Linked DNA regions of Coturnix japonica. The protein of the gene in region 2 interacts with the protein of the main gene of each other region in a biochemical or structural test. Links are inferred from orthologs where the notes say so. Each region holds a gene or a part of one and is shown on either strand. Other genes may lie near its edges.

Region 1 (2,830 bases), on a different chromosome or scaffold from region 2:
CTTCAGTTTAATTAAATTCAGTATAAAAAATTGGCCTGTAACTGGTTATCTTACATTGTGAACAGAGTCTATTAACGCTGTATTTGGGGGTCTTATGTGTGATGAAACAGAGTTTTTATGCTTCTAGAAATATTTTACAGATTGAAACAGATTCATGAGAGATACGACCAGGAGTGTATTTAAGAACAGGTAAGCACAAAGCCTAGCTTGTTTGCCTTAAGTTCAGCTCGTGTGTATGCCCTGTTAGGTTATGAAAATTGATAAGGTGATGATAGAAAGCATTAGCATGTATGAAAAAGGCAACTATTCTCACCTGCATACCTACATAGATCTACAACAGCTAACAGTCATGCTCACAAGATGCTACAGCATCATTCCAGTGTGGCAGGCTGAGCAGTGTGTTGGAAGTCAAAGTACTTCATAATAAAAACTATCAGAAGCAGATTGAATTCAGGAAATCAAAGTAAAATGCTGTCTAGAACTAACAATGTAGATGGAAGCAGTGTAATGAGACAGAATTCTTGCAGTCAAGGAATGGGAGATGAAATTTCCTCCTTGAAATGCAGTAGTCTGTGGCACCGTGGGATGTAAAACACAAGCAAATTGAAGTAAACAGAAATGTGAAGCAATAGGAGCACTTTATTGTAGCTTGAAAATGTACAATAACAAAACTTAAACTCTATATTCTAAGAAGACTTGCTTTATCTTCAGAAGGATCTCCCTTTTAGAGAGGGAATTTCAAATACTTCTAAACTGTGTCAAAGTGAATAATATCTACTCTGCCTTAGAAATAATGTTGAAGTCTTCAAAACACTATGAGGAAACTGGCCTAGATCAAAAGACTCTGACCCTTGTGATTCATAGGGTATCTCTGTCCGAATGGGACAGACTCTTTAAAGTCTGAACTGTGGTAAATACTAGTATAAGAACCTGACTTGATCACTGTACCTTTTTTAAGCTGTTCTAAGAGTTGTCCTGCAAGATGGAAAGTATCTCACGAACGCCCTATGTTACAAGCTGTAGGTGATGGCTTTTGTTTTACTTGACAACTATTATCTGCTGACATCAGCAGCAGATTGACTCTGTTGCATCCGCTTCTTTTCACTCGCATTCTTTCTTTTCCACTTGAGTGAGGCCACCAAAACCAATTCCTTTGGGGCCAAAGTTCTTTGCGTAGCAAACTGCAAAAGAAAGGAAAAGGTAAAGAGTATTGTGAATGCTTCCCTAAGTGGCTTTTGTGATTTGTTGTTATCAAGCAATGCAGCAAGGCAAATCACAACAGCAATATTAGGTCTAAAAGGAATAATTCTTACCTTTACAGTAGAGCTCTCCATCTTTGTCTGTAACGTTTGTAGATTCCAAACTCTTTCCACAGATAGCACAGCGGAAGCATGTTTTGTGCCAAGGCTGAAGGGATGAAGATGGTTTGTTATATTACAGAAGATGCAGAGCTAGTGGATGCAAGGAACAGCTGTTGCTTCTTGTTGTGCGGTGAGGTTAATTTTGTCTTCCTGGGCTTACAAGTTCAGTACTTTTTAGATTAGTTTTAGGATCTTATTTAATGAGCTTCTTGTTGTTGGAACTCTGGTAAAAAGCAGAGAGCTGTAGATAGCGCTCTCCTTGGCCACATCATGGTGTGATAATGAGTAAGAGCTTCTAGAGCAGAGGGCCAGCATATCACAGTGCTGTTTTTTCTGGTCATAGGATCTCTTTAATATATCTGCATTTGCCCCTACAAATCAATGTTTAGATTATAACTGTCCCAAGAGATGTTATAGCAGGATGACAGCAGGAGCCAAAAAGGAAGGGTTGACCCTCAGACCTTAAGATGCAAAATGTTGTAGGCTTATGGAAAAGCATAGCTTCAATGTGACTTGAAATCTGACAGTCAGTACGTTGGATGTTTTGCTTATTCAACCTTATGTTTTCTTCATCAACCAGGCAAAATCTTCAAGGGTTATTAGTTATAGCTAATCAGTGTAGGGGGAAAAGGGTTTGTTTGTATTTTTAGTAACCTTTTTACTTACTTTTCCTCCTCCCATTATCTTCTCTGCAGCGTACACTGATTTGCCACAGCGGGGACATTTATCCACATCAACCACCTTCTTGGCAAACTTGGAAGGGTTAGTTGGTGTAGAAGGGCGAGCAGGCTTTGGTGATCCCCTAAAACACAAGTTTGCTGTGTTAAGGTTGGAAAAGACTGCTAAGATCAACAAGTCCAGCATGGAAAAGACACTGTTACAGAGTCAGGAAATCATTGTGATTGGAAAATACCTCTGTTACAGGGTACCTGAAACAGCCCTGAGTGACAGGTAGCACCAGGCAGACACATGGTGCTGCCATTAGGGTTGGACTCACTGTTGCAGGTTCAGGCCCAGATGGTCCCCAGTGTCAGTGCTGAGACATCCAGCCCCTTGTCCAAATCCAACACCTTTGGGGCCGTATTTCCTCCCGTAGCAAGTCTTACAGTAGATTTCAGATTCATGAGCTGCCACTGTGGTGCTGTCCAGAGCCTTCCTGCAAGCCACTGCCAGAAGGAAGAGAGGCATAAAGGGTAAATATCAGTAGACCTGGGGACAGAATGTGCCGTGACAGTGGCACGCAGTAGAGTGCAAGTTGTACCCTCTATGTCACTGCTTTAAATCTAGACTCTGGTTGAATGGACCTGAAGTCTCTGAGTGCGAGCAGCTGCTTGTCTTGGTAGGCATGTGTCCCTTATCTGAAAGGCATGGATGGCACGTGGAGCCAAGAGCCGTTGCTAAGGCCACTCTTATGTCTGCTGAGTCTCATCAGATGGGTATGGAAGGCAGGTTGATCTCTAAGTTCTCTG
Region 2 (4,034 bases):
TGGGAGCGTTTGGAGAGGAGTGGGAAAGGATTTGGGCCGTTTCAGTGCTGCAGTCCACAGTGTTGGAGGGGTAATTATGATTTCCAGCAGCTGGATCCTTCCAGCATCTCAATCCCACCCCATTTCCAGCTTGGAGAGCTGCAGGGATTTGTGCCAGCTCAGTTTTGGACCCTTTCCTCTGGGAACGTCACGGCCACGTCCTCCACAGCGATGCTCTCCACAATGGAGGAGAGCGAGTGGAGGTTGCGGTCCTCTGCTGCATCATCACTCAGGAGATGATCTGAGAGAGAAGAGGCAGGGCAATGGGATGGTGGCCCCATGACACCACCCTGTGTGACAACACTGACATGGGGATCTGCTCCCAGATCCCGTCCTGATGGCTGCTTCCAGCACATCGGACAATGGGAGAAGTCTGAGTGCACTCAGGCAGTGCTGGAGGGGTCACCCAACACTGGGGTAGGGGGAGGACAAGGCTCCTCCTGTCCCCTGGCTGTGGGTTTTGGTTCAGGGATGCTCAGCCCCAGCACTGTGGTGTCCCTGGGATGGAGGGCTGAGGAAGGGGAGTTCCTTACCTGTGGGGTTGGTGCCAAACTCCAGCTGGGTGCTCCACTCAGGGCTACAGGATGAGCTGCCAGAGCCACACTCGCTGGGTGCCTGCAAGGACCAAAGTGCTGCACGAGCCCACCTCCACCAGCCAAATCCCACTGCCTGCCCCCAGCACTGCCATCCCTGGCAGTACAGCACCAATATGTGGTCACAGACCCAGAGCAGATGGTGACATTTGGGATCCTAGGGATCCACCAGTGCCAGGTGCATCATTAATCTCCATGAGTTCTGGAAAACCCATTTTGGTGCTCTGGGTGCATGGCCACCTGCTTGCACTCAGGATGCAAAGCTCTGCTGGAGGGGCAGCCAGACAGTATCAAAGTGCCAAGGTCTGAAAGAGGATGAATCTTTGCAAGTCACCCCTTTCTCCCCTTTTACAAAGTCCACTGATGTCAGTATCAATATGTAGATATCTGGTATCTGTATCTATATGCCATTCATCTCAATGTCATCTATATGTACATATCTATATCATTTATATCTGTAATCTATACAGTCTCTATTCATACCCATGCATCTGCAGTCTATATATCACCTATATCTATATATCATTTACATCTCTCATCTACACCTATATCACCCATAACTGCATCCACAGCTCCACATTCCCACATACAAAGCCTCAGCAGCCAGGAGTTGCAAACCATCATCCCCCAGCAACCAGATGGCAGACAAAAATATCCCCCAAAAATGTACTTAAGCCTCCAGAATCTCTTGATGGGGTGGATGGAGCCCAACCACACCCTGTGTGCTGAGGGCAGGATGCCACTGCCTCAAGGATTCTTGCCTGGATCCCAGTTTGGTGCCATTGGACTGAGAAACCAGTGCTGGTCCCCACTAGGACAAGTCCTCATGCACCAGGGGGTCAGGCCTAGAGCATTGTATTACTTTACATTGCTTTATGTTACATTACATTACATAGCTGTTGTTACATTGTTTTCTTACTGTATTGTACCATATTGTGTTGTACTGTATTGCAATGCATTGTACTGTGCTATATTTTTCACTACACTACTTTTCATTGCCATATTTTACCCCGCTTTGTGGCCCACAGACAGGGATTGGAACTGGAGGATCTTTGAGATCCAATCCAACCATCATATGGTTCCATGAATCCATGGTTCTATCATTCCATGACTCAATGATTCTATGATTCCATGACCACATGATTCCATGGTTCTATGATTCCATGTCCTATGGTCCCATTATTTTAGGACTGTATGATTCCTTGACCCAATGATTCCATGTCTCTGTGACCCCACGATTCCATGATTCTATGACCCCATGATTCCATGGTTCTGTGACCCCATGATTCCATGGCTCTATGATTCCATTATTCTATGGTCCTATGATTTTAGGACTGTATGATTCCTTGACCCCATAATTCCATGACTCTATTGCCCCATGATTCCATAGTTCTATGACCACATTCCACAACTCAATGATCCCATAGTTCTACAATTGTTTCTATGACTTAAGCCTTCCCACCCCCCACCAACCCACTGTGCTCAACGCAATGGCCATCAGCCCATTACCCACCAACACCCACTCATAGGGACAGCAAACTGAGCATCACCACCCCATTCCTCCATCACCACCAGCTCCCACCCCCCATCCACACCCATCCCCACACTCACAGCAGGTTGTGGTGCAGTGGGGCGGTAGCGCAGCTCCCTCTGCTCGCGCTCCTGCTGGTTGAGGCTGCTGAGCAGGCTCTGCAGGCGCTCTATGTACTGAATGGCGCTGCGTAGGATCTCCACCTTGGGCAGCCTCTGGTTGGGGTTGAGCAGAGTGCTGCGTTTCAGAGCCTCGAAGGCTTCGTTCACCTTCTTCAGCCTCCTCTTCTCCCTCAGTGTGGCCGCCCGACGTCTGTCAATGGACACGGTTTTGCGCTTGCAGATCTTGCAAGCCCATGGCAAGCATTGCCCAGGGCAGTGATCAGGCAACGTCGAGTCCTTCTCCTCCAAAGCCCCTCTGCTTTCAGGGCACAGGGACACCTCGGGCCGCTCGGGAAACGTGGCTGCCTCGTATCCCTGCAAGCGGGAGCCCAGGAAGTTTTCCCCATCATAAAACCTCTGCTCCGGGAAAAAGTAAGGGTTGGTCTCAAAGAGCTCCATGGGAGGACGTGTGCACAGCTCAGGGACGGCTGCTCCGTTTCCCTGCGCCAACTGCTCGGTGCCATTTAAACCCCAGCGCTGGCATTAAATCACAGAGATAAATATAGAAAACTTAAAGGAAACCTGAGCCCACCATAAGCTGCTGCCTCGCATCAAAACTTGTCCGGCTGCGGCCACGAGGACTGCACAGCTTGGGGAGGGAGGGGGGGGAGATGGTAGGGTGGGAGCTGCCCTGGCTGCCCCAACAGGGGCTTTGTTTGAGCCCGTGGGTGGCACTGGGGTTGCCAGCCCCAAACTGCATTCCTGTGTCATCTGGTCCCTTCAGTTATGGGGTGAAGTGGTCGGAGTAGGGGCAGCTGTGCAATGGGGTGCAGAGCCCAGTGCTGCTTGGAGCTCCTCACTTCTGTGCTGTGCCTCCTGTGTTCCCCCCAGAGCTGTGGGGCAGGAGAGAAACACAGCCCTGAGAGGGATGGCTCCCACCTTCCCAGTGGGGAAACTGAGGCATGGCAATGGGCTTTTGGTGAGCACAATGGGATGGGGTTTTCTCCCTTCCCCAAGACTCCAACCGCATCTCCCCGGCTTTGTCTGTAATCCTGAGGGCTTTTTTCCACCGGGAACGTCAGAAACCATCTCCCACCTCCTCCTATTCCTGCTCTGGGCCAGATTCCAGCAGAGGGATCGGTCAGTGGAAAGAATGTCAGACAAGAGTAGAGCTGACCCTGCAGGGATTTTATTCCCCAAATCACCCTCTCTGAGGAAGCACATTCCCCACACCCACCCACCCACCAGCACCCTGCCTGACTTTGGGTTCATTTAGAGCCATTTGGGGCCCTTCCTGGTGCTCTCCAACTGGGGGCCAGCCCTCTGCCAGCTCAGACAAGGATTCCTTTGGGGCCACAAGGAAAAGCATGCAAATGGTGATGAGGAGCAGACACAAAGCAGATAGGAGGGGAGAACCCAAGCCAGTGGTTTCCATCTGTGTTCTGCTGGTGGGACTTGCTGGTGGCCACAGCCCTGGTGATGGAAACCAGTGCCATTGCTCCAGCTCTGGGTGGGTTTTATTAATTTCGAGTGTGTTTGGAGGGTGAGGACACCGGGGTGAAACAACAGCTCCTTGGGCACGTGGCAGGGCCATATAGCAGAGTGGCCAAGCATTTAGCACTTCATAAAACATGGGCAGTGTTCTGCAGCAGTACCAGGGCTTTCCTGATCAGTAAGGGAGCATGAGAAGGGGATAAATTGGTCCCCAGGGCCCTGTGGGCTTTGTGCATCCAGTAGGTTCACGCTCCCCCACAGATGAGTAAGCAGCCA
Region 3 (3,726 bases), on a different chromosome or scaffold from region 2:
CACCCTGCACAAATCACTGCTCCTGCACTCCTGCTTTCGCCCTTGTTATTCAGTGTCTGAGCGCTGACTGCAAGGTCACGCAGAGCTCAAGGCTTCATGCAGACGCTGCCTCTCGCTGTCGCACTGGAACCAACAAGAGTCACCTACACACGTTGCTCCCCATCCCCGCACACCTTCCCTCGTTCTCCCCGCCCTTCCCGGAGCAGCCCGATGCCCGCAGGCCGCTCTGCTCACCACGCGGCCCAGCTCCGCCTCCGGGCCGCCCCGCTCACCTCCGCCCGCCGCTCCGGCTCCGGGCCTGGCCCCACCGAGACCGGAGGGACGGATCAGAGCCGCTTCCGTGTCCGGCAATGCTCCGCCAGGCGCCTGCGCGATGCCGCCGGGCGGGGCGGGGAGATGGCACCGCCTGCAGCCGGGGCTGGGCAGTAGGGGGCTGTACGATAGTAGAAGGGCTGTGCAGTAGGGGGCTGTACAATAGGGGGCTGTACAGTAGAAGGGCTGTGCAGTAGGGTCTACCCAAGTTCCCCATTCATTGGCTGTATATTCCCTAATGCCCCTCCACCTGCAAAACACGGACAAGACTCCAGCTCTGTGCACAAAATGATAACATTTATTGAAAGAGTAATTTATTCTTTTTTTTTTTTTTTTTCCCATACAAAAGAAAGCTCTGTACATAGTACTGTGATTAACTTCCACATCCTTCCAGATACACGACCCTGGAAACTGGAGGGGAAAAAAGAATCCCACACGCACACACACACACCTATGCACGCACACACACACCCGCACACATGCACGCACACACACAACCCTCAAACCAGTAAAATGAATTAAAAATGTCACCACACAATAAATGCCGTTTCGTCCCTGATACACGAGTGTTCTTACAAGTCTGCACTTAAATAAAAGACACCATTAGCGTTTAACCAGCGGTTGCCTTTGGGGAGGAAGGGAGGAGATGCCCAGCAGGGCACTGCCATCGCAGCCCCATAGGGCCAGCACGAGCAAAGCAGAGCAAAGCACAGCCCTGGTAACGGGCTTGGGGCAAGGTTAACGCACACCCCAAGCTCTCTGCAGAGGTCATGGAAGGAACCCGGCCACATCCGTGCGCTAAAAAACAGCACAAGCTGAGGCTGTGGAGGGGGAAACTCCAGCCCAGCCCCTCAGCTGGGAGTTCAGGAGGTGCCACCTGCACTATGGGCAGGGAGAGCAGAGATAGGCTGCTGACAGCCCCTCATCTCCCAGGGAGGGCCGGGACATCCCAGCAGACAGCACAGTTAAACGCTAACGTGGAGGGAACATGTCCAAGGTTACAATACAAACTCAAAAGCAAGGCCCCTTCCTGCCTCCACGCCCACCCACCCCTCTCCCATCCCCCCGGTACAAACCCCATGAAAACTGTACAGGAGCCAAACTTTTATTCCTTAAAGTATTACATAAATACTGAGTTTAACACTTAGAAAAATAAAGTCATTTTCTTTTTTTTTTTTTTTTTTTTTTTTTTTTTTTTTTTTTTTTTTCCTTTTTTTTTTTTTTTTTTTTTTCCTCCCCCCAAGGCTTCTTTTGTCTTTAACTTAAAAAAAAAAAAAAGAAGTTACAGTAGCTGCTCCTACCCCTAAGGATGCAGCAGCTCCTTTGCTCACTCGCTCTCCCTGCAGGGCCAGGACCAGGCAGCAGCTCCCATGCAGGACCAAGCACACTCCAGTCCTTCTCCTGTGGCCCTGCTGAGGCTCCTCCAGCCCCATTGCTCCCTGGAAGAGCACGCTGCCCACCAGCAGCTCAGTGCCTTGTGGACTCTTCCCTTTGGCACTGGAGTCACTTCTCCACCTTGCATCAGAGAATTTAGAAAGCAGTGGCTGGAGCTGCAGCAGAGGGGTGCAGGAAAGATCCAGTCACATCCCCCCCCCCCTCGGGCGTATGGAGTCCACAAGCAGCATGAGGGCCGAGATGGGAGCTCGGGGCTGGGAGCAAAGACACCGCCCATGGCCTCGCTGAGCTGCTGGGCACCCACTGAGCACTGCAACTGCCAACCCACCGGGCAGCCCAGCAAGGAGGCACTGAGGGCGGAAGCCTTGCTGTAGTGCACATGAGGAGGCTGGGGCCACACGCCAGGCCCAACCAGATATGCACATCCAAGTAGGCCGCTCGCTCCCTGCAGAGCCCAGGGAGAGCTGCCGCAGCCAGGACCCATCCCCCCCACAAAGGCACATTGCTGAGGCTCTGCAGGACAGCACCCAGCCCCAGCCCTACACAAACACCCACAGATGGGGTGAGCACCCCGAAGGGTCCAGGGCCTCCAGCTGGGAAGGGCCCCCAGGATGTATGTACAGCACGGAGCACACCTTCTCCTCACGAGACAAGCTTCTTTGGCTGGCGAGAGACGAGTATCCCAACGGCCCCCAGCCCTGCACGGCCCCAGCACAGCTTCTCCCCAGGCGGGTCCTGCAGCCCCTTGCATGCTGTGTGTGTGGGTGGGTGCGTGTGTGTGCGCATGTGTGGATGAAGGAAACGTGAAAAGGCAACAATAAATAACTGGTGCAGTCTGTACGAGAGAGTTGCTGCCAGCCCCAGCGTGACAAGCCAGGGACGGCACAAGGCCAGCAGCAGAGGCCTCTCAGTCACTCTTGGCGTTGTGTGAGGTGTCCAAGTTGACCACCTGCAGCTCCGTCAGGCTGCTGCTGCTGCTGCTCTGCTGCCCAATGACAGCCATCTAGAGAGAGAAGGGAGGAGCAAGTGCTAAGGGACAGCACTTAAAGACTGCTACCACCAGCAAGCCAGCATCCCTCGCCACTTGCCCAAGGAGGGCAAGAGCTCCTCACCCATGTGTAGGCGGCACAAACAGCTCCTCCAGCTCCCCAAGACCCGAGGACTGGCCCTACTCAAGTGCCCAGGCCCATAAAGGATGTTCAGAGCAGGACCAGCACTGCCCCAGAGGAGAAGCAGGAACAGAACCCACCACATCTGAGAGCACCGCTCTGCACCTACCTGGTGAAGCTGGACAGCTGAGACTGGGATCTGAACGGTGCCTGATGGGGCTGTCAGGAACACCTGGGGGACACCACCTGCCACAGAAAGAATGACATCATTTTCCAGATGCTGGGAACCAAGCATAAGCGTTCAATCCACATCCTGCATGCATGCCTTCACACTGTTTTGGCCCCTCATGCACCCACACATCCCTTCCAGTCTTCCTGACTCCCCCCACGCCAGCAACTCTCACCCTCTCACCCAGAAAATGACTCAAGGAATCCTTTACACAGGAGAAGAGCTGGCTCTAAAAAGCACAGACCCTTGCTGGGTCTTTTCAGTAGATATGATGGTTTAGAAGAAAATCCTCTAGAATGGATACATAGCAAAAAAACACATGGAAAAAGGAGAACCCCCAAAGAAGCACCAACCCAGACTTACCCTGATCCTGGACCTGGCTGTGGGACACCTGCATTGCTGAGGGTGCCTGCGAGAAAGCATTGAGGACTGCAAGTCCACCATCCGCAAGGCCAGAGGTGGGTGCGTACATCACCGCGTGCGGGCTGGGGTACATCATGTGGCCGCCCACGGTGGTTGGCACAGACGACGTCATGATGGTCGCTGGGAGGGTCACTGGCAGCAGGACAAACTACATGTAAGTTACACTGCAGGAACCTGCCACACTTACACACCTGCACAGCCACCCTCCCTCTCAGCCCCCACACGTGCTAGCAGCAGGCATGGGGAGGCACACACAGT

What was found.
Region 1: the proteins of MYOG (region 2) and CSRP3 form a complex in vitro, tested with the Homo sapiens proteins (2 studies listed by BioGRID and IntAct, with this or other methods). The link is inferred for Coturnix japonica from reciprocal best matches to the Homo sapiens genes MYOG and CSRP3.
Region 3: the proteins of MYOG (region 2) and SRF form a complex in vitro, tested with the Homo sapiens proteins (2 studies listed by BioGRID and IntAct). The link is inferred for Coturnix japonica from reciprocal best matches to the Homo sapiens genes MYOG and SRF.

Annotation. Positions count from the first base shown.
Region 1 is NC_029520.1:1,434,891-1,437,720, forward strand, and holds the end of CSRP3 (cysteine and glycine-rich protein 3), read right to left. Parts: intron 2,528-2,830; coding exon 2,359-2,527; intron 2,164-2,358; coding exon 2,028-2,163; intron 1,408-2,027; coding exon 1,314-1,407; intron 1,182-1,313; coding exon 1,102-1,181; 3' UTR 620-1,101; downstream 1-619. UniProt on the Homo sapiens protein: Positive regulator of myogenesis. Acts as a cofactor for myogenic bHLH transcription factors such as MYOD1, and probably MYOG and MYF6.
Region 2 is NC_029541.1:1,351,281-1,355,314, forward strand, and holds the start of MYOG (myogenin), read right to left. Parts: upstream 2,801-4,034; 5' UTR 2,724-2,800; coding exon 2,244-2,723; intron 655-2,243; coding exon 573-654; intron 281-572; coding exon 159-280; 3' UTR 1-158. UniProt on the Homo sapiens protein: Acts as a transcriptional activator that promotes transcription of muscle-specific target genes and plays a role in muscle differentiation, cell cycle exit and muscle atrophy.
Region 3 is NC_029518.1:3,481,747-3,485,472, forward strand, and holds the end of SRF (serum response factor), read right to left. Parts: intron 3,601-3,726; coding exon 3,409-3,600; intron 3,063-3,408; coding exon 2,986-3,062; intron 2,711-2,985; coding exon 2,615-2,710; 3' UTR 591-2,614; downstream 1-590. UniProt on the Homo sapiens protein: SRF is a transcription factor that binds to the serum response element (SRE), a short sequence of dyad symmetry located 300 bp to the 5' of the site of transcription initiation of some genes (such as FOS).